Linked DNA regions of Pelodiscus sinensis. The protein of the gene in region 3 purifies or fractionates together with the protein of the main gene of each other region. This does not show direct contact. Links are inferred from orthologs where the notes say so. Each region holds a gene or a part of one and is shown on either strand. Other genes may lie near its edges.

The links.
Region 1: the proteins of EIF4G1 (region 3) and PDCD4 purify together in Homo sapiens (affinity purification with western blotting; 3 studies listed by BioGRID and IntAct, with this or other methods). This does not show direct contact. The link is inferred for Pelodiscus sinensis from reciprocal best matches to the Homo sapiens genes EIF4G1 and PDCD4.
Region 2: the proteins of EIF4G1 (region 3) and EIF3I purify together in Homo sapiens (affinity purification with mass spectrometry; 5 studies listed by BioGRID and IntAct, counting the BioPlex papers as one, with this or other methods). This does not show direct contact. The link is inferred for Pelodiscus sinensis from reciprocal best matches to the Homo sapiens genes EIF4G1 and EIF3I.
Region 4: the proteins of EIF4G1 (region 3) and MKNK1 purify together in Homo sapiens (affinity purification with western blotting; 3 studies listed by BioGRID and IntAct, with this or other methods). This does not show direct contact. The link is inferred for Pelodiscus sinensis from reciprocal best matches to the Homo sapiens genes EIF4G1 and MKNK1.

The regions. Positions count from the first base shown.
Region 1 is NC_134718.1:66,934,211-66,941,294, reverse strand, and holds the start of PDCD4 (programmed cell death protein 4), read left to right. Parts: upstream 1-4,069; 5' UTR 4,070-4,225; intron 4,226-7,084. UniProt on the Homo sapiens protein: Inhibits translation initiation and cap-dependent translation. May excert its function by hindering the interaction between EIF4A1 and EIF4G. Inhibits the helicase activity of EIF4A. Modulates the activation of JUN kinase.
Region 2 is NC_134735.1:3,621,023-3,628,254, reverse strand, and holds the start of EIF3I (eukaryotic translation initiation factor 3 subunit I), read right to left. Parts: upstream 3,015-7,232; 5' UTR 2,970-3,014; coding exon 2,967-2,969; intron 1,685-2,966; coding exon 1,592-1,684; intron 480-1,591; coding exon 392-479; intron 1-391. Other genes in the region: TMEM234 (transmembrane protein 234), read left to right, coding at 3,083-3,095, 5,580-5,731, 6,262-6,328, 6,905-6,997. UniProt on the Homo sapiens protein: Component of the eukaryotic translation initiation factor 3 (eIF-3) complex, which is required for several steps in the initiation of protein synthesis.
Region 3 is NC_134720.1:48,593,709-48,601,161, reverse strand, and holds the start of EIF4G1 (eukaryotic translation initiation factor 4 gamma 1), read left to right. Parts: upstream 1-4,440; 5' UTR 4,441-4,594; intron 4,595-7,453.
Region 4 is NC_134719.1:3,691,841-3,698,786, forward strand, and holds the start of MKNK1 (MAP kinase-interacting serine/threonine-protein kinase 1), read right to left. Parts: upstream 3,012-6,946; 5' UTR 2,882-3,011; coding exon 2,855-2,881; intron 1-2,854. UniProt on the Homo sapiens protein: May play a role in the response to environmental stress and cytokines. Appears to regulate translation by phosphorylating EIF4E, thus increasing the affinity of this protein for the 7-methylguanosine-containing mRNA cap.

The DNA.
Region 1 (7,084 bases), on a different chromosome or scaffold from region 3:
AAAACTGTATTGGCTAGAGATATCATAGCCTTCCAGTGCACATAGTGGTTTCACTTTTGCAGTTTACTTTGAATACGTTTTGTATTTAGTAGACTCCTAATTTCAGGACTGAAAGGGATGTCTCCTGAGTCATCTTTCTCCCTAGAGTCTCCCTCCTTTCCCTCAACTAGAGGAGTTATATCTGCCTTGCTCAGGCTTTGGTGTGATAGCTCAGACCTAATGCCAGAACCTCAAAATGTTCAGTGCTGCAACTCTGTAGAAAACACTGCTGTGGTAAAGAAGATGGATGCGATAAAGACAGGCTGCAAAAAACACAGGTTTTGCCCTAGTCTAGTCTGGAGTCACTTAAAGATCAAGAATATCTTATCAATTTTAAAAACCAAAAGTATTTCATTCATTTTAATTTATATTTTGTCATTTGCTAAAGAGAAAAGCAAATGGGGTCAGGTGTTGATTGGTAGCCAAGATGAAAATCTCAAACTTTTCAATTTCCACATTGTAGGCAAATACAACAGGAGTGTACTGCTATTTGTAAGGCTAGCCTTACTTGGTAGATCTTGTGATTTTACCCACATGGGAACTAGTCATCTTCCTCTCCACTTCTGGGTTCTCTCTATCTATGCTGTTTTACATATGACAATTTACCTCCCTCGCCACTTCCTGCCTGTCTGCTTAAGGTGTGTGTGTTCGTTGTCTCACACTTCAGGCTCTGCAGCCTCTAATCTAAATTGGTTTGTCTGTCTGAGGTCTATGCGCCTTTCTCGGTAATATTGTTATCCCTAATAAAAAACAGGACTATGTAGCACTATAAAGACTAACAAGATGGTTTATTAGGTGATGAGCTTTCGTGGGCCAGACCCACTTCCTCAGATCAAATAGTGGAAGAAAATTGTCACAACCATATATACCAAAGGATACAATTTAAAAACAATGAACACATATGAAAAGGACAAATCAAATTTCAGAACAGAAGGGGGTTGGGGGGATTCTGCCACAACCTTCAATGGGGTAATGGGTGGGGAATCAGTGATTTAATCTGCATGGGCGTCAGGCAATGCCTAGTGGGTTGAATATGCCTATGTGAGAGTATGCCTGAAAGTGCTGTGCTTTATTCAGTTGCATAGATAACAGGATACCATACTCCAAGAGGCTCTGGGAGACAGACCCATAGTCTCCTATAGACAACCACCTAACCTCAAGATGATTCTTACCAACAACCACAGGACATACCACACTAATACCAACCCTGGTACCTTCCCTTGCAACAAACCCCGTTGCCAGCTTTGTCCACATATTCATTCTGCTGATACCATTATTGGACCTAACCAAGTGAGTTATAAGATCAAGAACACATATTCCTGCGCATCCAGAAATATAATTTATGCTATCATGTGCCGAAAGTGTCCATCTGCTATGTACATTGGACAAACATCTCAGACACTTCGCCAAAGGATTAATGCCCACAAAACAGATATCAGACAAGATCACAAAGAAAAAAAAGTTTCTTGCCATTTTAACCAGAAAGGACACTCTCTCAATGACTTAACCACCTGCATTCTGCTACAAAGACCTTTTACATCTGCACTTGAAAGGGAATCCTCTGAACTGTCATTCATGTTAAAATTTGACACTCTCCGGGAAGGAATGAACAAACACTCAAACTATCTTACCCATTACCAAGATAGCTTCCCCAATTATCACCGCTAATACCATTAGCTCACAGACATCCCATTCTCCCCACCTCTAATATCATCAATTCACAGACACTTACCTTCCTTCCTTCCCCCCCCCCCCCGCATCCCCCTCCTGTTCTGAAATGTGATTTGTCCTTTTCATATGCGTTCATTTTTTTTAATTGTATCCTTTGGTATATATGGTTGTGACTATTTTCTTCCACTATTTGATCTGAGGAAGTGGGTCTGGCCCACGAAAGCTCATCATCTAATAAACCATCTTGTTAGTCTTTAAAGTGCTACATTGTCCTGCATATAGATCACATAGGCTGCCTTAAAGCTACCTTTATTATAGTTATTGAGTTAGAACATCCTATGATAAGCAGGTCTGTGTGGTGTCCTGCAGGGCTAACCTCAGGTTGGGGGGAAAAGAGCATAGCATGCATGATCTCATTGTGATAAATCTCACAGTGCCATGCTGGGATTGTTTGTTTGCTTTGGCTCCCTTACTAAGAGCAGCGGCCTTTCCCTAAACCTTCTTCACTGTTACTTTTCCTCTTGTTCATATTGTTCATATTCCTCTTGTTAGTCTTTAAAGTGCTACACAGTCCTGTCTTTTGCTTCAGGAAGACCAGACTAACACAGCTACATTTCTATTAATATTGCGAAATGGTCTGTTTGTTGACATCCTGTGACTCCAACACCTGCTCTGCATCCTCTTGACTTGTGCTTTTTTCTTGCATGGATTTAGGGTTGTTACCTAATTAGGTGTTCCCAGGATTGTCCCTTTTCTGAGCTAGCAGTCCTGTGAAATCGGCAAAGGCACTCACTCATAATGCACACTGCCTGCTGTTCAGTTTTTTTGGGCTCAGCATCATCCCAGATATGCTGTTGTTTTGTACCTTGGAGGTGGCATCCTTGCGTGTATTAGATGGTATAGCCTCTGTGCCATGAGCCACAAACATTTATGGAACTGAAAAATTATTCCTCCTTTAGATCCCAGTATATAACTGCTATTAATAAGGCTCTTTGGGAATGCAACTTGACTGACTCTGGCCCCGGTGAATATGCTGGCCCCCAGAAATTTTATAGTGCTGAATGAACAAACCAGCATTTGCTGACTGTAGATTTGCCAGGTGTCCGGTTTTGAACTGGACAGTCCAGTATTTGAGCTTTCTGTTCGGGAAACAAATTGAGAAAATATAAATGTCTGGTATCATATATATAGTAGCCCAGTGTCTGAGAGTCTGTAACGCCAAAATGCTGGCTGTTCCCTCTGGGGGGCGCTGTTGCCTGAAATGCTGGCTGTTCCCTCTGGGTGGCCCGTGCTGCATGGGGAGTGCAGGGCCCAAACGGCCTCTTGCACCATTTGCTCCCTCACGGTGGCCCGGCTGAGCGGCGCAGAAGTCAGCCGAGCACCACAGTGGGAGGCGAAGGGGGGTGGGGCGGTGACGTGCGGCGTGACAGCAGCTCCAGGCCCTGCCCCCTGCCCGTGAATGTCACCGCCCCGCCCCCTTTCACCTCCCGCCGTGGCGCTCGGCTGACTTCTGCGCTGGTCAGCCAGGCCGCCTTGTGGGAGCAAGTGGCGCAAGCGGCCATTTGGGCTCCATGCCCCCCATGCAGCACGGGGAGTACGAAGCCCAAACGGCCATTTGGGCTCCACGGTCCCCCGAGTGAAAAGCAGGAGGGGGAGGAGAGCTGAAAGAGAGAGAGGGTGAGGCAGTAGGAGGAGGAGGAGAGAGAGAGAGAGAGAGAGAGAGACGGAACGAGAGACCGGAGGCTCAGGAGAGACCTGAAAATCCCGTCTTATGACGGGCCAATTGGCTAGTTTTCTAACTAAGATGTAATGTCGATGGTGATGTAACGTCAAGTGTGTCCGGTATTTTTGTTGAAACCATCTGGCAACCCTAGCTGGCTGATCGAGTGCTGAACGCCCTCCCCTTTAAAGAGGTTGGAGGGTGGCAGAATGCATGGACATTTGGCTACCAGCAACATAGGTTCCTGCTGCCCTAAGCTCGTTTAGACCAGCCCCGTAGAAAGTGCTGGGTGGCATAATCTAGGGATGCAATTTGAGTCCCAATACCTCCTGCGCATAGCACTTTGGGACCTCCTCCCACCACTGCACTGGGCCCTAGAGGGCAGCAAAGACCCCTCCCCCCCTGCCCTGTATACGTCTCCTCTTAAGAGGCCTGGGGAGTTTGTTCACCCCTCCCTCTCTCCAGCCAGTGTGTTGGATCACCCGGGCCCCTCCTCCCCGCACCATCCAATGGTTCCTTCCTATGCCTTCCCTGCCGAACACACCCACTTCCCAGCGCATGGTGTCGCCCTCCCTCCTGGCCGGTTGAGCACACACCTTCCCTTCCGCCCCTGCCCCGCCCCCTTCGCCCTGTGATTGGCTGCGGCGGGTGGCGCGAGCCGGCCAATCGGCGGCGGCCGCTCGCGGCCGTGTCGCTGGGCAGAACAAAACAAAAACAAACAGGGCAGCGCAGGGGGCAGCGCGAGGCCGGCGGCGGCTGTGGGGAGCGGAGCGGCGGGGACCGCTGCTGCCTACGGTAACGGGAGCCCCGCCCCCCCGCGCGCAGGGGGCTCCTCGCCCCTCCCCAGGAGCCTCCTCAGGCGGGAAATTCGTGGGATCCCCCCCGGGGGGGGAGGGTCTGGGCTCCACGACCCTCCTGGCCGGGGGGCGTGTGGGGTCCTTACCAGCTCTCCTCAGGGATGTGCCCCCCCGGGAGCCGGGCGCATCCTTGGTGTGCCCCCCCTCTTCGGGGTGAGGGGGTGGGGTCCCTGGGGGTGCCCCCCTCTGTGGGGTGGAGTCCTTGGGGGTGCCCCCCTCTGTGGGGTGAGGGGGTGGGGTCCTTGGTGGGGTTGGTGCCCCCCCTCTGCAGGGTGAGGGGATGGGATCCTTGGGGGTGCCCCCCTCTGTGGGGTGGAGTCCTTGGGGGTGCCCCCCTTTTGTGGGGTGAGGGGATGGGGTCCTTGGGGGTCCCCCCTCTGCGGGGTGGGGTCCTTGGGGGTGCCCCCCCTCTGTGGGGTGAGGGCGTGGGGTCCTTGGGGGTGTCCCCCCTCTGTGGGGTGGAGTCCTTGGGGGTGCCCCCCTTTTGTGGGGTGAGGGGATGGGATCCTTGGGGGTGCCCCCCCTCTGTGGGATGGAGTCCTTGGGGGTGCCCCCCTTTTGTGGGGTGAGGGGATGGGGTCCTTGGGGGTCCCCCCCTCTGCGGGGTGGGGTCCTTGGGGGTGCCCCCCCTCTGTGGGGTGAGGGCGTGGGGTCCTTGGGGGTGTCCCCCCTCTGTGGGGTGGAGTCCTTGGGGGTGCCCCCCTTTGCGGGGTGAGGGGATGGGGTCCTTGGTGGGGTTGGTGCCCCCCCCTGCAGGGAATGGGGGTGGGGGATTCTTCATGCCCCCTCTCCTCCCTACCCCCCAGCGGGGGCGGATGGTGGTGTGGGGTCTTTCCCCCTCCCTTCTTCCGTCCCCCAGTTAAAAGCCCCTTCTGCGGAGCAGCGCCTGGTCTTCAGCCTAAGGATGCCATCGCTGGCATTTGTGGGGAAGGGGTGACACTCTGGTCCCCAGTCTGGCTGGGTGAGGATACAGTGACAGCCGGGCTGTCCCCAAACAGCGCTAGGATTGAAGTGGTTATCGGGGAGGAGGGAGCCTGCTTTACTTCTGTATAGGAAAGCTGCCGGTTCCTACTTTTAGGGTGTTAGTACCTTGGCAAAAGGTTTATATTTTGACCCCCCACCAAGCTGTAAAGTCACTTTCTTTCTTGTAAAGCTGCACCTTTAAAAACAAAACTGACTTGCCACATCTGTATTAAAACCACTTCCGTTGTTATTTCTGATACTTTAAAGTGTGTGCTTTAAGACCTGTGTGTGGAGGTTTGGTGTATGTTTAATCTTTTCTGAATAATGTTTGAGGCTGTTTATACACTCATATAAAACTAGCACTGAGCATTTATATAGAGCATTCTGTGCTGTAAAAGAGTGTGTATATACATGTAAACATCAGATGGAAACTGATCCTTTTACAGTACCATGGTGAGCAGCACATGGCCACAAACAAATTCTGCTGTGATGCTGTTTTCACAAGTCCACAAACTGGAAATATGAACATTTCAGGCTGTAGATTGTCTTACTTGGCCTCTACTGAAAGGGAGAAAAATCATGGGAAGTTCAAGCCACATTTCTTTGCTTCTTTTTAAATGTGACTGCATCACAGTGGCTGAAGTTTTAAAAACATTGTATGGCATTAAGGATTAGAACCTTTACTTGAAGTTGGGTAAGGTGGAAATACAGTTCGAAAAGTGAATGCATGCTCAAAGATTTTTCAATCTAGAAATTTTTGGTTGAAGGTGATCATGAGATACTTACTTGACCATGAGTGTAGTGTAAATACCTACATATATAGAAATATCTCATTCAAACATGCAGGACTGAGAATGATCCAGAAAAGCTCCTTGTCCATCAGAAACCAGAGAAAGTAATGGAGTTGAGAAAAAAACTAAAAATCACACCTCTTTCCAAAACAAAGGCCCCAGGATCCTTTTTTGAATTTGCAGTATTTTACAATATTCTGCAAATTCTTTTATTTTATTCTCCCCCCCCCCCCCCCCGCTTATGTACACCTGTTATCTTGTCTACCCCCAGATAGTGAGCTCTCCAGAGCAGGGACTTCCGTGTTTTTTCATGTAGAGTCAAGCACAATGAATACTTGCTCTTTGATTGAAGTTCATTGTTCTGCCATAATATAAATAATAAAAAAACCCTTAACTAAACAATTGTCAGTTGCCTCTCCAAAAAGGTTTTACAAGCCCAGTTCTTAAAGAGTCCACCCGTGTATTGGCTGTCTGGCCCCAGGAAAGGAAACTGAAAGCAAGCCAGTTTGGTTTCACATACATCACACTGGCATTGAGGAAATCTGTGCCATTTGGCTCCAGGGTCCATGATTGGAGTACATACATTTTGTCTGAGTGTTGAGGCCTGGTTGGTGGAGTTTTGTTGTTGTTAAGGATAATTTGAGCTATTAAGTAATTTATCTTTGTTGATAATGGAAGTTACTCATATAACTGACAAAATGAGGTACCAAGCAGGTATCTGCTGATGTGTTGGATACTCCTTTGTTCTGTTGGAACAGACCGGTGCAGATGCTTCCTCAGTGTAGGACTCTTACCACAATAAGAAGCTGTAATGCTGTCTTCAGTAGTCTCTTAAGCCAGTGGTCCCCAACGCAGTGCCCACGGGCACCATGGCGCCCGCTGGGGCATTTATGTGTGCCCGTCAAAACATCTGAGCTGCTCCCCCCCGATGTGCGGCACATGCGTGGTGCTCGCCCTGGGCGCGTGGCGCATGGGCAGCCCCTGCCCCGGGCGCACAGCACATGCGTGGTGCTGGCTCAGGGCGTGTGGGCGGTCCCTGCCTC
Region 2 (7,232 bases), on a different chromosome or scaffold from region 3:
GGAACAACTCTGCCACGGGACCCCAGCCACTCTGCATCAGCCCATAGTTAACCATTTAAGCGAGTAAAATTGTATCATTTAACCAGATAACTTTGTTAATGGGTATTCACGTCCCTACTTCTAGGAATGCCAGAGCATTGAGCTCCAGCACAGCTGGTCAGTCAAAAGCGATATCTGAACAAGTGAAGGCGGAACACGACACCCCACAGTTCACTTATTATTTCAAATGAAGGGAAATACAACAGTGGAGAGTAAAGGAAAGATCACAAGGCCAACAATAAAATCGCTCATAGTGCCTACTGCCTCCTGTCCACAATAAAAACGCCTCACTTCCCATGTGAGAAGACTCACCATAAAGCCAAGCAGCCAGGTTTCAGTCATGAAAGGATACAATCTGCATCCACACACCAGACAGCTCCCGTGTGGCCATTGTAAGTGCCAAGCCTCTCCCCATTGACCGAGTACCAAACATTGACAATCTGGTAATGCAAAACAATTGGTCAAGGATCCATGTTTGATCAAACTGCTAAATAAATGAACGTAATTTACTTCCATATGGTCTCATCTTTGAGTATTTCAAGTTATCTCACTGCACATACAAGTAGGACTACATGTGTTATAACCTACATTACAGGCAGCATCACTAGAGATAGTAGGACAGGAATGTCAAAAGGTGGAGAGGTCAGATTGTAGGAGAACGAATGAGGATGGTCACAGGGAATATGGTGCACTCTTCGTGTTGAGAGATACTATCACTAAATGCATGGCAACAGGTATTTTATAAATGCAGTTAAACAGAATGTATGTTGAAAAGCAGGCAGTGATGGTTCTCTTCAGGGGCCTGGAAATAGTATTTAAAAATGGGAGTGGGATTACTGCCTAAGGTGGAACACAGGGAGAGGAAAAAAAAATATGCTGCTCAAGTAAGACTGAGGAGAGACAGAAATGCTAGGTGTGGAAAACTACTATATGAAACATCCTGAAGAGGAAGCAGGTTGGTTTTGTACTAGACCTTGAACTGAACAGGAAGCAGCAAAGATTTCTCGGAATGGGAATACACTTTTTTCAGGTATAGGGAAAGAGAAGTACCTCCAACACCCTGGAGGAAAGGGATTTTCAGACTATATAGATGATAAAATACAGTTAAATTTCCAATTTTTATACAAACTCTCTGTAACAGGGCATACCCGCTATAAGTTGCCCTGGTACATCCACTCCACACTAAAGTCATTGACACTTGTAGGAACTGATGCGTTGTAAGTCCTCCAATTCCCCGCTCTTAAATTGAGCAACCCCACCCCCACCCCCACCAATTTGCACAAATGGAAGTCAGCCGCGGGAAAAAAATTCCATACTTTAAGTTGTTTTGCTACAAGTCCAAGTTTTTTGGAATGTATCTTGGACTTACAGCGAGGACTGCCTGTAATAACTAGTTAACAAAAAACTGACACCACCTCAGCTACAGGGCTATGATGCATAACCATAATATTAAACTGGCTGCTAGAAGTTTCACTTTTTTAGAATCCAGTTTAAACTTCCTCCTAAGTTTGAGAGACATGAAACAGTTAATCAAAGACTCAGAAATACTTACAGGATCTTTAGCTACTGTAAAGAGTAGGTCTCCTTCTCGGTTATATTTGATTTGAGTAATGGACCTCTCATGACCTTGCAATAGTATAGGTTTCTAAAAAGGAGACAGAATTTTTTTTTTAAATCCAGTATTTTAAAATAAAACACACCTTCGGGCTTTGTGATTTGTGCAAATACATGAGTATAGAGTTTCCACCAAACACAACTGAAGCTAGTCCATTTACTCGTATTTCAATGTTTTATCCATTGAAACCTGCATTGGAAAACCTCATCTTCCCGAAGATTCAACTTTAGCAGAGTCCAGAGTCCTCAAACCACGCAGCTTTACTGGCTGTTTATTTTCCCAGGCTGCTAGGTTTCACTGAGTAGCCCTGGAAGGGGACCTGTCATTTAATAAGGCCCAATGCGCCAGCAGGCTGGAACGAGGATGACTGGGGATTGAATTCATCTCACAGATGCGTAGGGCCAGGAACAACTTCAGGAGGTGGCTAACCCCACCCAATAAGAAGGCTTTACCCCCCCAGCGTTTCTTCACCTTATGGGTGGGAATCCCAGCGCAGCAAGGCCCTAGAGCAGGGGTTCTCAACCTTTTTCAGTCCCTGTACCCCCTTGGCTTTTAGTAAACCTTCCCGTACCCCCTATTCAATATGAAAGGAAATAAATTCTAGACTCTAGAATCCACCAACTTTTTTCACTCACACGACCACTTAGGGAATATTTCAATTAGGATAATGTAGTTATTTACCAAATATTCCCTGTACCCCTTGACACGCTTCTCCTACCCCCTAGGGGTACGCGTACCCCAGGTTGGGAACCCCTCCCCTAGTGGCTCCTCACCGGGACCCAGCAATGTACTTGGGGCGGCAGCAGGTGCCGGTGTTACACTGGGAACTCCCCGCTGGTGTTTCCATAAAGAGGGGAGGAGGCAGCCGAGGGGATCGGGGGGGGGGGGGGGCAAGAGCGCTGGGGCCACCATAACGGGGGAATGGGCTCCAAGCCAAACAGAAGGGAGAGCCATGATGCCGCGGGGAGGGGCGGCGGGGGGCGGGGAGGGGGGCGGGAGAGGCAGGACACTGAGAGGACGGGAGGGGGGAGTGGTGGGGGGGATGGGCTCCGGGGGGGCAGGACGCTGCGGGGAGGGGCGGGGGGCTTGCGGGGGGAGCGGACGGGCGGGGGGAGTGGTGGTGGTGTGGGGGGGGGATGGGCTCCGGGGGGGGGCAGGACGCTGCGGGGACGGGCTCGAAGGAGCGGGGGGGGGGGGGGACCGAGGCAGGACCCGACGTGGGGGGAGGGGGAATTCTCCCCCCCCCCCCGAGACTCCGCCTCCTCCCGACCAGGCCTGCCCGGCCCCAGCCGCCCCTCGGCCCCGCACTCACCATGGCGACCGCTCACAGCCCCGGCCCAGTCACAAGCTCCGCGTGACAACAGGAAGGAGGAAGAACCACATCCGGGTCAGGGGGCGCGGCCGGGCCGGAAGTGGAGCGGAGCCGGCATGGCCTCCGCGGGTGAGTTTCCTGCTTCCGGGAGTCATGACAGGCGCTCGGGCAGCGCGCGGCTCCCCCCGGGGCGGGGTCTCTGCAGCTGGGGGCGGGGCACAGGGGGAGGGGCGGGGCACAGGGGGGAGGGGCGGGGCTCCTTGTGGGGTGGGGGGAGGGGTGCTAGACGGTCCCTGTGGTGGGACACTGGGGAAGGGGATTTCCAGCCCCCCCCCCCCCGCGGGAAGGTGAGAGTCAGGGTGTCCTCAGTGGCAGGGGTGCAGGGGAAGAGGCTGGTCGGAGGGTTCCCCAGTGCTGGGGCCTGGGGGGGGCTCACTAAAGGAAGAGCGGGCAGCCCCCCCCCCACACACACACTGTATGACATTGACAAGGTTTCCCATCTGGAGACCACAGGAGGACCTAAGGCGCTTCACTGACCTTCTATACACAAACACCCGCTTATTCACTGAGCCGGGGGCAGCAGCCTCTCAGGACATCACCTTTAAAGGGCACCATGATGGAGCCAGGCCTTTTAAAGCTGCTCAGCTCCTTTTGCTCACCATACGCGTGTTCTGGACGAAAGCACAAATGATTCATGGTTCCAGGCTGGTGACATTGGGGGAGTGCCAGAAATAGGAAGTGAGTTGTTCTGGGTGCCAGCACAGCTCTAGCCAGTACGGGCTGAGTCACAGTAAACTGCTATTAAGACCCATAAAGTAATGCAGTCAAGCCCAGTTTTCTGACCGTTGAACCTGTTTTCATAGACTGGAATAATCTGTAATAATAAATAGACAGAAAAAGAACTGCGGCAGAAATAAATGTATGTAATAAACCTGTGTGACCATGACATAGTAATGTTTATTGCAAAACCCTGCACTGTCAGCAGCATTCAAACAGGTCTGTCCCGTCTTCTGCAGTATTCTAAAATACATAATGCACCATAAAAGCTCAGAGCTTTTTAGCATCTGACATTCATTTGTGGTTTGCAAATGTGATGTCTGGGCTAAATGTGATAATTGGGCTAGAGCTGGTAACAACACAGTTAAGGTTGTTTGTTATTTACTAAACACTGTATTAACAGTTCTGTTATGCTGTAAAGGTATTTGGCGAGTTACATAAGACATTGTAAGAAAAGGTCCAGACAGACAATAGTTTTTATGTGGGGTAGGTTGGTAAGATCATTGGCTAGGAGGCTTTGTTGAAGGAATGATGGTTTAGCACACATGGAGGGACTATTCCAAGCAGGTAGGTGTACATGAGAGAAGGCACAAAGCTGAGAGTGCATGGAGGTAAAGAGAGCAGGAAGCATAGGAGAAGGGGTAGGACAGTTCTGGATGCTCAGCATTTACATAATTGGGGTTTTAAAACAGAAGAGCTGTGTCTACACTGGCATGAATTTCTGGAACTGCTTAAAACAGAATACTATTCCGTTTTCAGTTTTTCCGGAAAAGGAGCGTCTACATTGGCAGGCTGCTTTTCCGGAAAAGCCCTTTTTCCGGAAAAGCGTCTGTGGCCAATGTAGATGCGCTTTTCCGGAAAAGAGCCCCGATCGCCATTTTTGCAATCGGGGCTTTTTTCCGGAAAAGACTACTGGGCTGTCTACACTGGCCCTTTTCCGGAACAGTGTTCCGGAATAAGGACTTATGCCCGAGCGGGAGCAGAATAGTTTTTCCGGAATAGCGGCTGATTTTGTACAGTAGAGCGTCGTTGCTTTTCCGGAAATTCGAGGGCCAGTGTAGACAGCTTGCAGCTTATTCCGGAAAAGCGGCTGATTTTCCGGAATACGTGGCCCAGTGTAGACACAGCCAAGGAGAGGGAGAGAAAGTGAGGGAATTTGTGATAGTCACAGTGGCAGGCACAGGACTGATGTAGGAACTAAAGTGAGAAACTCACAAGACACAAATAACCCCTGAATTGTGGTGGTTTGTGATTGTGTTGCAGGAGTGGGGATGTAATAATGTAGTCGATTAACCAATAAGCAAAAACGTATTTGTTAATGCTATAGACTACATGCATTCCTCCCTCCCGCCCCTGCCAGAAAACTTTTTAGCATGCTGGCCAGCAGCCTAGCTCAATCCTGGCTTGCACCGGGTCTGAGACCTACCTCCACTGTGATTCTGCGTTTAAAGTGTATTAGGAGCCAGGCGGGCAGGTAGCCTGGCTCAGTTCCAGATCGCGTTGCATCTGGGAGCTCAGATCTCCCCTCCCCTCAGACAGAGGCTGCTGTCTTTGTATCAGAGGCAGCAGTGCGGGGCAACAGGCAGCCAGTCTGCAAGGGGAACTGGTTTTTAAACTGGTTCTCCTCACAGATTAGCTCCTGCCTGGCACCCCGCGCTGCTGCCTCTCTGATACAGAGGCAGCAGTGTGGGGTTGCAGTGGGCTCCTTGGGAGTGGGGCTGGTGCACACTGGCTGCTGGATCCACCCCCAGGGACTATAGAAAATTCAAGTAAACGAAAAGAATTCATGAGGTTAATCGACTATTCAGTTAACTGGTATTTAACATCCCTATGCAGGAGAAGTGTCTGCACTGGTCCTAGTGGCTATTCTGTGGGGAGGGACAAACCCATTTTTGAAGACGGGGACAGAGGGACTGGAGAAGGTGAAGAAAGGGAACCGGGTGCCGCAGCTGCTTGCAGAGATGAAATTCCTGTGCCTCAATTACAAGGTATTAAAACCTCCAAACCATTTCAAGTGATGCCAAGGGGGGAGGCATCCTGGATGGAGATAATATTGAATGTATGTACCTTAATCTGGCTTTAACATTAATTTTCTTGATCATTTAATTATATCTGTTCTGGACTTGACATTTTTTACTGGAAATTTTATCCTTTGTGATATTCCAGTTAGCTTGCATATGATACCACTTTTCCCTTGAAGATTTCAAAGCCCTTTACACAGTTAATTAAGCCTCATATAATTACTGTAAGTTACGTGTTGTCTCTCTTTTACTGACTAGGAAACAGAAGTTATGTGACCGACTCAAATTCACATAAGGAGTCAGTGGCACAACCACAAACAGATCCCTTTGATTTAACTGCTAGACCACACTTCCTTGTAGATTGAGAAATAGAATTAATAAAGCCTGGCTCCTAATCCCCCACTCTAACAACTAGCTTCACTGCCTCAAATAGCATTCATGATGTGTATATGGTCATTTCATGTGCAGTGACTGAATATGTTATGTTTTCCTCCTAGTACATGGTGCCATTTCTGTTTAATCAATGTGGATCAATAATCTATTATCTCACGTTAGCATCCACAGGTTAGTCCTTGCTATTATGTTTCAATGTAGTGAGATAGCTAGGGTTAGATAGACCATGTCATCCTTGAAGAGTTCTGTGGCCCATCTGAGAAGTCAATTTCACATCTCTTAGGCTGGATAGAATTTGATTATGATTCTTCAATTTTGACAGATGACATCAACATGTATTAAACTTTTTTTGTATTTTGATCCATTTAAATTTTTAAATCACAGGGATTTATGAAGGGCCGTTAGACAAATATTTTAATGACAGCTATTGAGATGCAAAATATTAAATCTTTGTAATCACGAACAAATAATGATATCACATCAAAACATATAAAGTAAGTTTCTTTAAAATATATTAAGTTCTCAAGCAGCATTTTTTTTACCTTGCCTATCTGTAAATTTGATTTTTTTTATAGTGAAATCAACACTTATTACTAAAAATCTAATCCTTCCAAGCCTATATATACGCTCAGTAACAGCAGTTTTGCATTAGTGAGGAGAAAGTGATTTTTACAAAATTTAGTTTTTAAACTGTGTTCATAGAAAAAAAAAATCTGACTGTATCTCCATGTCCTTGTTCAATTTCAGACCTGTCCCTGGCGGTGCCACTCTGTAACTCTCTGGCTTTGATAGTCACGGTACTAACTGGGAAGATGCTTGGAGAAGATATTGGTGGTAAAAGTATGTCATGTTTCAGTGCATTACTTTTATATATATCTTCTGCACACACAGCCTGGTATTCAGCACCATACCATCTGTCTAGGTTATCATGGTTGATATGCTCTTTAGCTAGATCATGTAATTCTAGAGGCAAGGTATATGGTTAGTTAAGTAGTTCACCTTATCAGAGTTGGGGATGGATTTAGTGAGGACACGCCCTATATAGGTAGAGAATGGCGATCTGGCTAATCCTACC
Region 3 (7,453 bases):
CTCTTCCCCTCCCCTTCCCCGTGGCTGGGCCGCTACCAACACAGCAGGAGTGGTGCTGAGCTCTGTGTTTTATCTCATTTCCGGAGCAGCAGCCTCCAATCCAGCTCCAGGCAGTCTGGCCCTGCTGCCTCACCCCTGCAGGTGGCTCAGTTCCTTGCTCCTGGAACCTGGCTAACTGGCTCAGCCTGTGCCAGGGTGGCTGTTTTGGTACAATTTTGCTCAGTCATGCTGTTTGAGCCGTGTAGCCAGCCAATCTCCTGGCTCTCAGTATCAGCTGCTCTGGACATGGTCACTTGTTGAACTCAGCTGCTGCTCTGATGTGTAATCCCTGCTTGATTTAACTCGGGCAAATCAGTCTCATATCAGCCCTGTCCCCACCCTGTTTGCTATCCTAGCTGAAGGGCTCCTGGACTCCCTGCATTCCTCTGCTCTTTTGTTCCCCAAACCAGTTCAGTGGCATGTTAAAGGTGAAAATCCAGCTAATTCCAGAAAGCTGGACATCAACTTGCATCCCGAAGCCACAGAACGAGCAATTCTGTAGTTTGTCAGAACCTCCCCCGTCCCTCCCCACTCATTGCTCTGAGCTCAGATTGCGAGTGCCCTGGAGATGGGGGTTTGGGTCTTTTGTCTGTACAGCCGCTCCCCGAGTTGCGAACGGTCGAGTTACGACCGTTTGCACCTATGACCAAAGCTTCCATGGAGCGGTCCCCAAGTTACGAACGCGACCTGCGCTTATGAACAGCATGGTCGCGTGTAACTCAATGGGGTCCGAGTTACGAACGGATCGAGTTATGACCAAGTGTTTGGTTCGTAACTCGGAGAGGGGCTGTACTGCAATGCAGCCATTAGTTGCTATGTAGCTAAGATGGGTAAATTGATACAGTTGGCCAATTACACTGGGGCTGTGTCTAGACTGGCCAGTTTTTCCAGAAAATCAGCTGCATTTCCAGAAAAACTTGCCAGCTGTCTACACTGGCCGCTTGAATTTCCGCAAAAGCACTGACTTCCTACTGTAAGAAACCAGTGCTTCTTGCGGAAATACTATGCTACTCCCGTTCAGGCAAAAGTCCCTTTTACGCAAAGCTTTTGTGCAAAAGGGCCAGTGTAGACAGCTCAGATTTGTTTTCTGCAAAAAAGCCCCCGATCGCGAAAATGGCAATAGGGGCTTTTTTGCAGAAAAGCGCGTCTAGATTGGCATAGACGCTTTTCCACAAAAAGTGCTTTTGCAGAAAAGCGTCTCTGCCAATCTAGACGCTCTGTTCCGAAAATGCTTTTAATGGAAAACTTTTCCATTAAAAGCATTTCCGGAAAATCATGCCAATCTAGAAACAGCCTGGGTGCGCACCACTCTCCCTTTCTCCCCCAAGATGTTTCAATTCACAAATCACTGTCCCTCTTGGCACCAAGACCCTCTTTTCAGATGGGCGCATATGCCCCTCACCCATTGTAAACGCCTCTGAGCATGTATCTGCTTTGAATCTTTTTGTTCAGTATTTGTACAGCACCGAGCCCTGGCACCTGACTAGTGGTTTTAGGCACTACAGCAGGGCTACTCAACACACAGCCCATTTGTTTGTGGCCCACAGGGTAGTTTGGATTTACATGGGGCTCAACATGCAGCCCGCAAGTGGGAGCCAAATCAAAAAAGTGGTCAATATAATGGTCTTCTGTTGATATGTGTTTTAGTAGTAAAATTCCTGGACTGTCATTGCTCACTGAAAGTGCTGTCATATGGGTGGAAATCAGGTGAATATTGCATTTTATTAATATCAGAACTGACTTAAAGGAGGCCTGTGTGTTGTGTAGTCTTGCCTTAATCTTTGTATTCATGCCTGTCAGTATGAAAGAAGCTATTTGCATATATTTGGATGTATATGCAACCACACTTAAGTTGCAACCCTCGGCATATGCTGTGAGTATCATTGTGGCCCCCGGGGCTTCCAAAGTTGAGTAGTCCTGCACTATAGTAACCAGAAAGGCCAAATGGACTTCTGGAGCTTACACTCGTTATCAGCTGCCAGATTCCAGTATGCAATACACCAATGTGACCTGAAGGGGGCCTTTGTATGCTGGGACAAGTTAGTTCCGCATTGCATGCTGGTATTGGTAGTTTCTGTGTCCACCCCTCCATGTTACAGAGGCATGGTGGCTGCCATCTGCTTTATTTTAGGCAGCTTAGGCATTGAATAATTGCCAGGGTAGGGCCCCTCCCCCAACTTAGAAAAGTTCAGACAGGAGCTAAACTGCCCTGTGAAGTGATGTGGCTAGAGCAGAAGACTGGGAGTCAGGACTCTTGTGTTCTATTCAGAGATGACTATGGGAAATTTCCTTCAAGGCTTTCTGGGTTTCCTCCTCTGCTAAAAGGGGCTGGTAACAGCGTCATCAGAAGGTGTGTCAGAGGCTCTGGCAATCTGATTGGAACTAGAATTTGGCTGCATCCTGCTCTCCTTTTCCATCCCTTGCTTGCTCTCTGCCACCCCCTCTCCTATTCTGTCCCAAAGCCTATATTTCAAGCCTTCACATGTTTGCTAAGGAGTAGGCATGAAATGAGTCACTGCCCAATATTAAGGATGCAAATGGGTCAGGCCCCACCCACTATCCATCATGGCTGTTCTTTCCCTCCTCCTTACCTCACATCAGTGTGATCAGTGGTACTTAAGTGAGAAGGAAGGCTATGGATTGGCTATGGACCAAGGTGGGTCTTGGCTCCTCACTTCCACATGGTGAATCCTTGTAGGTAGAAGAAGCTGAAGCAGCTACATAAGTAGCTTCCTAATGTTACTTTTCCATATGAGCAACTGTAAATACCATCATGACTTTATGAAATCATGAAGTAAATGGGAGGTGACCAGGACTGGTAAAGAGGTAACTTAGCATGATTGTGAGGAAAGGTGTGTCCCCCCCCCCCCATGACAATGTTTAGCAACCCCTGATCTAATGCACATAAAATCTCTTCCCCCATGTATTGATCTGTGATTACCTTTCCCTAACCTGAGGAAGAGCTCAGCGGAGCTCCAAAGCTTGTGTCTTTCGTCAACAGAAGTTGCTCTAATAAAAGCTACGCCATCCACCTTGGTTTTTGTTCTCAACTTTGCCAGCTGTTTGATGTAGGCACCTGTGAGCATACAGCTCTGTGCCCCCTTTGCCCAGTGCCACTGTGCGCATGCAGATGCCTATGTATGTGGAGGGTGTCAGGCTTGGAGAGATGTGTATGTGGGAAGATGAGGGCAGAGGGTACCAGCTTTTGGGCGGGTGGAATGTTTATGTGGTGAAAGGGCACAGTACCAGACATGGATGGATGGAGGTGTGTTTTGGAGCTTGGTGGTAGGCAGCATCAAACTGGGGAATGTGTTTAGGTCAGAGGTGGGGGCAGAATACCATGCTTAGGGTGTGCATGTGGGGGGGGAAGCATCAGACTCCGGAGTAGCAAAGTATTAGGCCATTGGGTGCACGGGAGGCAGGGAGTGCTAAGCTTAGAGAAAGAGGTGTGGGGAGGGGAGTAGGTGTAAGGACTTTGGAAATGCTAAACCTAGAAGGAAGAGTGTGTGGGGGGGGAACAGGTGCTAAGCCAAAGTGGAGGTGTGTGTGTGGGGGACAGGTGCTCAGCCTAGGGGGAAGAGTGTGTGGTGGATGGGTGCTAAGCTGGGGGTGAGGAGTGGGAGGGATAGGCACTAAGCCCAGGGGGAGGTGTGTGGGGGCCGTTGCCGAGCCTGGTGGCAAGCGGGTCAGTGATAGGCACTAAACTTGGGGGGAGGAGTGGGAGACACAGGCACTAACCCTAGGGAGAGATGGGTGGGGGACAGGTGCTAAGCCTAGAAGGAGGGGTGTGTGTGTTGGGGGGCAGGGGCTAAGCTGAGGGAGAGGTGCTAAGCCTAGGAGGAGGCATGGGGGACGGGGACAGGCACTAAGCCCAGAGAGAGGTGTGTGGGGGGACAATCACTAAGCCTAGGGGGAGGTGTGTGGGGGCAGTTGCTGAGCCTGGTGGCAAGCGGGTCAGTGACAGGCACTAAAGCCGGGGGGAGGGGCAGGACTAAGTGGGGGGGGGCAGTTGCTGAGCCTGGGGGTCGGCGGGTGCAGGACCCGGGGACAGAGCTCAGCCCAGGGGCGGGGGAGGGGGTCTGGGTGGGGGCCCAGGGCGGGGGACGCCGAGCCCCAGCGAGGAGCGTGTGGGGGAGGCGACAAGCCGCGGCAGGCCGCTGGGTGCGGGGAGCCTGGGGCACCCCTGCCTCCCACGCCTGACACGCGCTCGTCACATGTGCGCGCGAAGGTAGGAACCGGAAGTGCGTCGGCTCACGTGAACGCCCCACTAGCCCAAGCGCAGTGGCTGCCGGCAGGCCACATGACAAAGGTTCTGCTGAGGCCGGGCGTCACATGACTGAAATGCCGGGCTCTCCGGAAGAGGCGGGCTGCAGGTCACATGACACGGGCCCCGCAGCGGGCGGGGAGGGGCGCAGCACGGCCTCAGCCGGCCCCGCCCCCTCCTCCGCCCCGTGACCGGCCTGGCCCCGCCCCTCCCCGCGGAGCGGCTCCGGAAATGGTCGTGCTGGGCTGCGCTGCGGCTGCGTCGGGCCGCTCGGACTGAAGGAGACTGAAGGTAACGGGGGCCGGGGCGGGCCGGCCGGGCGGCGCCGCCTCCCTCCGCCATGCCGGGGCGGGGGGGGCCGAGCAATCCGCCGCCATCCACCCCCGGGGGAGCCCGGCCCCGCCGCCCCGCGACGTCCGCCCCGGCCCCGCGCCCGCCCGGCCCATGTGCGCCGGCCCGGCCACCACGTGGGGAGGGGGCTCGCTGCCCGGCCCGGCCACATGGAGCCCGCGCGCGGCTCGGGGGGCCCGGCCTTGGCCGCCCCCCTCCCCCCAGGGCGGGCCTAGGGCTCGGCCTGGAAGGGCAGAGACCGGGATCTGGCTCCTTCCGCCCCGGCCCCGTGGGGCTGATCCGCCCCCCCCCCCGCAGCCTGGGGGGCCTGCCCCCCTCGGATCGTCTCTTCCCCGCACCGGTTCCCTGGGGCTCCCCGCACCGCCCACACGCACATGCACAGGCCTGGCTCTCCCTGCCCGCCCCGAATCCCCGCTGTCGGGGGGGGGTCCCCCCTCTCCCCGCCCCCAGGTGCCACACGGCCCCTCGGCCGCCTCGCTTCCCCGCCCGCCCGGAACACTTGCCCCTGGGAGAGGCCTGTTGTCTATAGGCCCTCCCCATTATGGTGTCTGTAGGGGCTTATTAGCCCCTCCCCCCAGCGCCAGGGCTGGAGTGCATCCATTTCCTTCCCAAATTCCTGCGGGCTATAGGCCCCGACGGCCCGTATGGCATGCCACGTCTGTCTCCCCTGCGCCCGGTGCGCACAGGCTCCCTCGCGCCGAATGCCTGGCGCCTCTGCGCTATAGGGGCCTGAGCGCCCCCCCTTAAATATCCGGCGTCTATAGGGGCCTGAGTGGGCCTCCCGAGCCCCCTCCCCCGCGGTATGCACGGCTGGCCCCGCCCCTAATGCCTTTATCCTGCTCTTAGCGGCCGCCCCCACGTGCTCTCGGCTCCCCCTCCCGTCCCTAGGCCCAGCCCCGGCCTCTTCCGAGCCGGCGTCTAGGCCCGGCCCCCACGTGTCCCCGCCGCCCGGCTTCCATCGGGCCCGGGCAGGCTGTGCGGCGCCGGCTCCCGCCCGCCCCGGGCTCCCTCCCCGCCGCTCCGTAGCGCGGGGGCGCCGGCTCCCGCCCGGGCCTCTCCCGAGAAGCGATGGCCGCCGCCGGGAGTGACACGTGTCCTTGGCAGAGGCCGCCGCCGGGCCTTGGGAGCGGCGGGCCGACAGGAGCCTTGCCACGGCTCCGTGTGCTGCGGGGGGAGCCGCTGGCCGGCTCCAGCCCGGGCAGGGGACGGCTCCTGGTGGACAGTCCCGGGGGGGGGGGGGGGGGTGCGCGCTGCCCCCTCCTCAGGAATTTCCTCGCGTGGGGGGTAGGATCCTCAAGTCTGCCTGTTCTATAGGGGCGAGGCAGAGTCTGGGGTCCGTCGGCCCTGGTGGTGACTGGTGAGATGCCCCAGAACTGATATGCCTTTGCTGGGTGCGCTGTGCCCCATGGGCGCTCATGGTCCATGGCAGGACCCTAAAGCCAATGGAGTGTAGCGGGGGGGGGGGTGTCTAAAGCTGAGCCCCCGGTGGGGACATTTGCCCTTCTCCTATTTGTTTTGTTCCATAAACTGGCTTGTTAGATGTTTTCCTAGGCGCAGGTCTCCCCTGCCTCAAAGCAGCAAGAAAAAACAGGATTTTTTTCTGCCCCTTTTTCCAAATTTTGGGTTCTGCTGGGGTGTGCATGTCCTCCAGGGAACAAAAAATGGTGGGGGGCGGGGGGAGGGGAAGTAATCAGCTGCCTAGCTGGAATTCGTGAGTGGGGCATGTTCTTTGGTCTCCTGCAGCTCTGCATGCAGGATAGTGTGAGCTCATTTATTCTGTGACTCTTGAGAGCTGTTTTGTACCTGTCACCCAGCCCTTGAAAATGGCATTGAGGGCTCCCTATTTATCCTCCTGGTCAAAAGGCAAAGTTGACAAATTGCGTCACTACCCTTCAGTTTCTTGGCCTCTGAAAAGGGGCCAGGATCCTTGGAGGGGACACAGGGTTGGTGTGTCCTGCCCACGGGCTGAGCTCTAGCCCCCGTTAGCATCTGTGCAGCCCTGAACCGCTTACTGGGTTTCAATAACAGTTCTGTTACTGCCAGACTGGAATCTGTTTTCCCCTCCTGCAGCTGGTCTAGCTCTGGGGGACTTCCAGGACACACAAGCACAAGAAGAAAGTTGGCACCTAAAGTGGTCACCTTTGACTCTGCCTACACCCAAGGGGCAGTGCTGTGGAGTGGGGAGGGACCATTGTTCCAGGGGCCTGTTCCTAACTAGCTGAGCATGGCTCAGAGTTGCAGAACAGACAGCAGAGAAGAGCCAGGATGAACTGTGCCCACACCCCCTTCTCTAGAACATCCTCCTCGCTTCCCGTCCCTGTGAAACATCCCTCTAAGGCAGCGAATGCCCTTCCTCCTCCGTTTCTGTGGGCCAATTGGCACAGCAATGGCAGGGATATGCCGCCTGCAGAAGCAGCTCGGGCACCATCCACAGTGCCAGGAACAGAGGCAGGAGCACATGCCGGTTCCTCTTTCCTCCGGTACCAACAGAAGCTCCTGGTTCCTGCTTGGGGAGCAGAGAGAGACACTGAGTTCATGCTAATTTGGCTCTGCTGCTCTAGAGAGCAGAGGCAGGACCAAGGTGCTGCCATCCTCCTCTCTGGAAGTCTTTTTGGGATGCGGGTAGGGTTCCTATGCCAGTTGCTAGTATGGAATAAGCAGAGGAAAGGTTATTTCCAAAAGTTTCCCAGGGGAATTTGTGCTGGGCAGAATGGTTTGCCCAGTGTCCAAATCACAACCTCTCTTCAAAAGTGCTATGGGCCTCAGTTATTTCTGCTCAAAGTCAGCAGTCTAAGCACC
Region 4 (6,946 bases), on a different chromosome or scaffold from region 3:
TGTAGAAATATAGTTAATTCCAAACAGCCTACTTCTTATTTTAGAACAGCTGTTATATTAGTTTCATTCTGGGAATGATTTGGGGCTTAAGAGGGGGCTCCAGGCTCGGGCAATGTGTCAGAGTGCAGTGCCAGAGAAGACAAAGGCTCTAGGAGAGAGTTTAGTGCTGGAAGACATTCGGACCTGCGGCAGGAGGCTGGGGTACAGGAGCGCGTGAGGAAATGCTTACTCCAGGCAGCTCCTCGCCAGCAGCACACAGGACTCAGGCGGACTGCTTGCATGCCATGACCCCATACAGCTCCTTCAAATGACTAGCTTCTGGAAACTCTCTGCTTCCTACTTGGGGGATAGGAAGATGGCAGGCGTTGCTGATGTTGCTGGGAACTGGCCAATAGGAGCTGTGGGTAGAGTCCCGGAGGCAGGGGCACCATGTGCAGTCACCTCCCTCCCACATCATGCCAAGGCCCACAGAAACATGTCAGCAGCTTCTGGGAGGGATATGGGGTCACAGGATGCAAGCAGCCTGATTGAGCACTGCTGCACCGCTGAACTTCTAGCAGCCTAGAGATTGTGACCGACTGGCAGAGGCTCCAGAAGCCACCAGTCAATTGCAATCGAGGGGTTGGTGACCACTGATTACATTATTATGGACATATTTTTGTGGATCCCTCCCCTTAGCCAGAGGCTTTTCAATTCTCATTGTATTTTTAAGATAGGAGAAATATATAGTCAATACTGAACTCAAAATAACAGATTAAAATATCTAAAAAATACAGTATTTATTTTAACTAGGGATGTGAAAGTGCAAACATGGGCTCGTTGGTCAACCTTCACAATTACATGCAAGATCCCAATATATGCAGAGAGCTAGCTTAAAAGCCAGTCATGGTGCGCACCCGCTCCCTCATGCTGCTGCCTCGGTCACAAGCGGGGGAGGGAGAATGTGGGAGCCAGTGCATGTGGGGAGCCCGCACAGCACTCCCCCCCCATGTAACCCTATGGCCTCTGAATTTTTCAGCAGTTACATGTTTATTTAATTAACCACATTTTAGCATCCATAATTTTAATAGTGAAACAGAGACAGGAACATTTCCCCATCTCCCCCCCCCCAAATGAATTATAGTCTTATTAGTAAACATCATCTTTGATCGCTGCACTCTCTTTTATATAAACTACAAAATACCCTAGGTCTGATGCTCTCATGGAGTAGTTAATTATACACTAAGCAAAAAGAATCTTCCAAGTTGTTTTTATGTTCCAAATATGGGGCTCCAAGACTAGAAGCTCCTTCACATAGTACTGATCTCCCAAAAAAGAGCTATTTTGCTGGACTGCATCAACATAGGTTATTGTATTGCTTCTCAAATGATAATATCAGGCTCTAAGTTCATAGGCGTGGATTCACAACACCTCTCCAGATAGTTGATACAGTTCTGGAATTTTGTTTTTAAGTCTCATCTTAGCACAAAAGGAAAAGCTTTCCAAGAGTAGAAGAGACCAAACCAAAACCTTAACTTAACTGGTAAAGCCCCATATTCCCTAGCTCTGTTCCTCACAGGACCCGCCCTCACCCCTTGTCCTCCACCAGGGCTGGGTGCCCTAGTGAGAGACCAGGAGGCCCTGCCCTCACCAGGGTCGGGACACCTTCTCTTCTCCCCACCTTTATCTGCCCTACAGTATGGGGTCCCCCTCCTACACCGGGCCTGGGTATTCTCCCTCTCATGCCCCCCCCCCCCGAGCTCACAATGCCTCTTAGGCTGGGGCACCCCTGTTTGGGGCTGTGCTAAGAATGCTAAGTATTGAGTAAATGACTGACTGTGTGTACTCAATATAGTTTGTATTGAGAACATAATACGTTGGTAAGGGGCCGTTGCGGCTCTGCAGTTTAAATGTAGTAGGAGCTGAGTGCGCAGCCACCTGGCTCTTACTATCTTTAAAAAAGCAGAACCGCAGCACCGCTGTGCCTCTACTTCCCCTGCCCTCTCCGCCCTGCACCATGCAGAGGGTGCTGGGGGGGGGGGGGGGCTTTTAAGCCGGCCTACCCCAGCACCGGCTCCTGCTTCCCCCTCCTTGCTGCTTCCAATAGAGCGGCAGCGGGGGGGGGGGGGGGGAGCGTGAGTAGTGGACTCGACGGCTCTTCTACATCCTTCGGCTGGGCCAGTGAAGGGGCGACTGGCTGGAGCAGAGGAGACTGACCCTGGACTATTGGACTAGTGCTCGGGCGCCCGGCCCCGGGTGAGAGGACAAGGGCTGCAGGCCTGTGGGGGAGGGGTGGGAGGGGTGATACCTGGGAGGGGCCCGGCCCGTGGAGGGGGGTGATTCGCGGGGGGGTGATTCGCGGGGGGGGGGGGGGTGATACGCGGGGGGGGCTCGACCGGGGGGGGTGATACGCGGGGGGGGGCCCGGCCCGGGGTGATACGCGGGGGGGGGCCCGGCCCGGGGGGGGGGGTGATACGCGGGGGGGGGCCCGGCCCGGGGGGGGGGGGGTGATACGCGGGGGGGGGCCCGGCCCGGGGGGGGGGTGATACGCGGGGGGGGGGCCGGCCCGGGGGGGGTGATACGCGGGGGGGGGGCCCGGCCCCGGGGGGGGTGATACGCGGGGGGGGGGCCCGGCCCCGGGGGGGTGATACGCGGGGGGGGGCCCGGCCCCGGGGGGGGTGATACGCGGGGGGGGGCCCGGCCCCGGGGGGGGTGATACGCGGGGGGGGGGGGGCCCGGCCCGTGGGGGGGTGATACGCGGGGGGGGGGGCCCGGCCCGGGGGGGTGATACGCGGGGGGGGGCCCGGCCCCGGGGGGGTGATACGCGGGGGGGGGCCGGCCCGGGGGGGCTCCCGGCGAGCAGCGCCCCGCTTACCTCCATGGCGGCCGCGCACCCCTCCATCACCTCAGCGGGCGCGGGGCTCCCCTCAGGGCAGGGCGCCGCCGCGGAGGCTCACGGGAGGAAGAGGCGCGGCGGCGGAAATGGGGGAGGGGGGGAGAGCGGGGAGGTGCGCGCGCGCGCCGCTGGCAGGCCGGGCAATCGCGCGCCGATGTAATCGCGGGCGGGGTGAGGGTCGCTGCAGGCGCGCGGAGAACGGCAGCCGCGCGCAGGCGCAGTGCTGCTAGGAGGAGTGAGGAGCTGTGGGAGGAGCCACAAGCCACGCCCCCTGGCCGGTGGGCGTTGTTTAGGCGCCACCTGCTGGTCTGGCAGACCAGGGGGTGAGCTGCTCCCCATGGGCAGGCCAGCTGGGCCCCAGGCTGTGCAGCTGCCTCTTGGGAGTTGCGCTTTCCCCACCCACTGGCAGCGGTGCAGAGGGCTTGCACCTGCCCTGCTGAGTCGTGGGGCAGGCAGGGGGCTACGCCACGTGCTGCTGTCGGGGGAGCAGAGGGAGGTGTGAATAGCATGGGGCATGGGGTATGGGGCTAGCTCTGCCAAGGCGTATAGAAGAGTAGCCATCCTGGGTTAGGCCAACAGGCCGTCTAGCCCAGTACCCTGTCTGCCAGCAGCAGCCAGTGACGGGTCTTCTGGGAAAATTAACAGACCAGGGTAATTAGTGAGTGGTCCATCAGCTGAGCCTGGCTTCCTGTGGGCAGTGATTTAGAGACACCCATGGCATGGCCTTGCATCCCTGCTCATCGTGGCTAATAGGCCTGGATGGACCATCCCCTTCCCTTCTCCTATTTATTTCGACTTTCCTTATCCTCTAACCATAACTCTGGTCATCTGAAGAAGTGAGCTGTGCCTACAAAAGCTCATGATTCCATCTACATGTTTTGTTAGTCTATAAAGTGCTACCAGACTGTTTGCTTGCTGTTTTTTCCTGTAACAGACTAACTCTGCTACCCCCTGAAGCTCCTGAGCATATCTAGTTATTTTTTAAACTCAGACTTTTTGGCTTCGACAACCTACCCTGACACCCATAGGTAGGACAGAAAATGTCTGGGGTTCCTAGCAACGGGGAGTTCCTGGACGAGTCTGTGGTGGATGCTGGGGCAATGCCTGTGACCCTGTCCCCTCTCTTTGCATCCTGCCATTGGCTCCCTTCACCTTCCCCTTCCCTGGGCTCTCCTGCTTACCTAAGAGGTCAATTTCTGCTTGCCCTCAGCCCACGAGGGCAGCCTCCATGGCCGAGTTGTTACAGCACCTTTGTGCAATGCCCATGTTGCCTTTTGTGCTTGTCAAGAGTGCCCCATAAGCACCCACAAAACCAACTCATTGTCCTTCAAAACCTCCTTTGCTGTGACATCTACAACAAACTTAATGAGGAGGCTGCTGGTGTGCAGAGGCCCCAGCCCATCCTTTTGACCATATTGTCCAGAGCCAGGCAAAATATGGCCTGTGGGCTAAATCCTGCCTGCCAAGCTGCTGGATCTGGCCTGAAGTCACAGTGGGAGCCTGTCAAGCTCTCTCCCTGCTCCGCCCCTGCATGCCACTCAGAAAAGCCAATGGTGGGGCCTTGTTCATCTGTGAGCAGCTGCAAGCCTAGGAGGAGGGGAGAAGAGGCTTCATGCACTGCCTTCCCCCAGCAAAATCTTACAGCTCCCATTGACCGCTTTCCAGCCAATGGCAGCAGCCTGTTTGAAGACCCTCCCTCTTCCTCCCCTCAGGCTTGCAGCTGTTCGCAGATGCATGTGGCCCTGCAGCTGCCTGCTCTGAGTGGCCTGCCAGGGCAGGGAAGACAGGGAACTTGCTGGGCTGCTGGCCAGGAGTCACCCAAGTAAGCATCTCCTGGCCAGAGTCTGCCTCTGGCACTCCAGACTCTTCCTCCCCCCAACCTTCTTCCCTCCCCCACTTCACATAACCCAAACCATTTGCCCCTCCTATGTTCACGCATATCTCCTCCCAGACCCTGCACCCCAATCTCTTGCCCCAAGTCACAGTACCTTCCTGTCCAAGGTCACAGCCCAAATCTCTACACTCCCTCTTGCACTCCAGTCCACTCTCCCAGCTTACAACCCCCCTCCTTCACCCAAATTCCCTCCCAGATCCCACACCCCCTCCTACACTCCAATCCTTTACCCAAAGCTCCCTTCTGCAATCAACCTCCATCCCGGACCCCGCACCTCCTCCATTCATATCATGGAAAAGAGCGGCCCTTGACCACTTTACCAAATTCGTAGAATGACCTCCCCCATCCAAAATTATTGCCCACTCCTGATATAGTGTCTTGTACTCCCGTTAGCCTTTGTATCCATCCACTGTCTCCTGGAGTGCATGCTCCTTGGGGAAGGGATTTCTTCTTTGTTCTGTGTTTGTAGCACTCTGGGGTCCTGGTCTGTGACTAGGCTTCTAGCTGCCAAGACCGTACAAATAAATAATGTACTGTTTCAGCTCAGAAGAGAAGAAGCCTGATGCCAGTACTGAACCTGATCCCTTAACCCAGATCCTTAAAGGTACTTAGGCCCTTACACTCCAGTGCTGGTGCTGCTGTCCCAAAATCTTTCTCCAGCCGCTGTCACTGATCCAGCTGGAGAGGGAGATGAGGGTTCTGGTTATCAGCCTGGCAGGCACCCGTGTGGCTTCCAGTGGCCAAAAGGCTCGTCTGCAGACAAACGCCGGCAACCTTCCCAGCGTTCAAGTGGATTCGTGAGAATCCAGCTGAGATAGCGGAATGCCGACCTGCCGACGGAGGGGAGAGGGGAGACAGAGCTGGCGCACCACTCCGCCAGTCTGCGCAGCTATGAGGGCAGGACCGACTGCCTGAGGCCCTGCCCCTTTGAGGACGTGGAGCTGGGGTCCACACACACACACTTCGCCCAGGGCCCCACAGTTACGGTTGCCAGATGGTTTAACAAAAAATACCAAATCCCCCCTCCCCAAAAATGGGAAAAAATTCTGTTGAGCAAAAAAAAGGGGGGGGAGGAGAGACCAAAGTTATTGAGCAAAAAAAGGGGGGGACGCTACACCTTTCAATGGCCCCGCATTCCTCACTCCCCTGCAGCAGGGGAAAATTGTCCCCGCTGGGCTTCCGTCCGAGGGAAACAAGAAATACCTGATTTTTTTACCAGCTGGGGGACCTGAATAACAGACAGTCCGGGTGAAAACTGGACATCTGGCAACCCTCCCCAGGGTGGTGGTCGGCTCCGCTGCTGGCATGTGTGACCAGACTCCCAGATGCATGATCGTTATGTGAAATACAGGCCGCTTGGCAGTCAGGAACGTGTATGGATGGAAGAGCCCGATATGGAGCTTTGTTGCTTCCCCTGCAAGGGGAAAATCACGCAGCAGAAAAGATCGTTATAAACAGCAGAGGAACAGAAAACCTAATTAGGAGTCTGGAGGCTTTGGTTCTATTCCTGGCTCGGCTGCTGTGTGACCTCGATCCGTCACTTTCCCTTTGGGGGCCTCTATTTTCTGCCCCACTCTTTGTCTTTTTTATTTAGATTGGAAGGTCGGCGGAGCAGTTTGTACGGCAATCAGCACAATAGGATCCAAGCTGGGTTGGAACCTAGATGCACACAGTAATGCAAATAATAGTTACACATAAATGTAATGAACAAGGAAACAAAATTCATAATATGCTTCCTATAGCTTCCGAAAATGTCCAGTCAAGTTCTGAAAATGCAAAGTGCCAGCGTCAATTGAACTTTTCAGACAATAGCGAACGTATGTTCTGGTTATGCAATAGAACGTAGCAAGGACATTTATCTCACGGAAATCTTTCATTCAAGAGCATCTATTTGGCTCAAGTACTCTCCCAGTAAGTGAATACCGTATTATATTTATGCCTGTGGCATCCCCTACACATCTCTTCCACCAGTTTTCTCTCATATCCAGCAGCGAAAGTAACTGAAAGGCAGGGCATATCTAGACAAGGGAATTAATGTAGTTTGAAATAATAACTCCAGCAATAACTATTTCGAAATAGCGTGTCCACACTACAGAAAGGCCTCAAAATTAGTCCGAGGCAGGCTCCCTCAATGTGGATGTTCTACCGTGACTTAAAGCCCCAGGAAGCACTGGGGA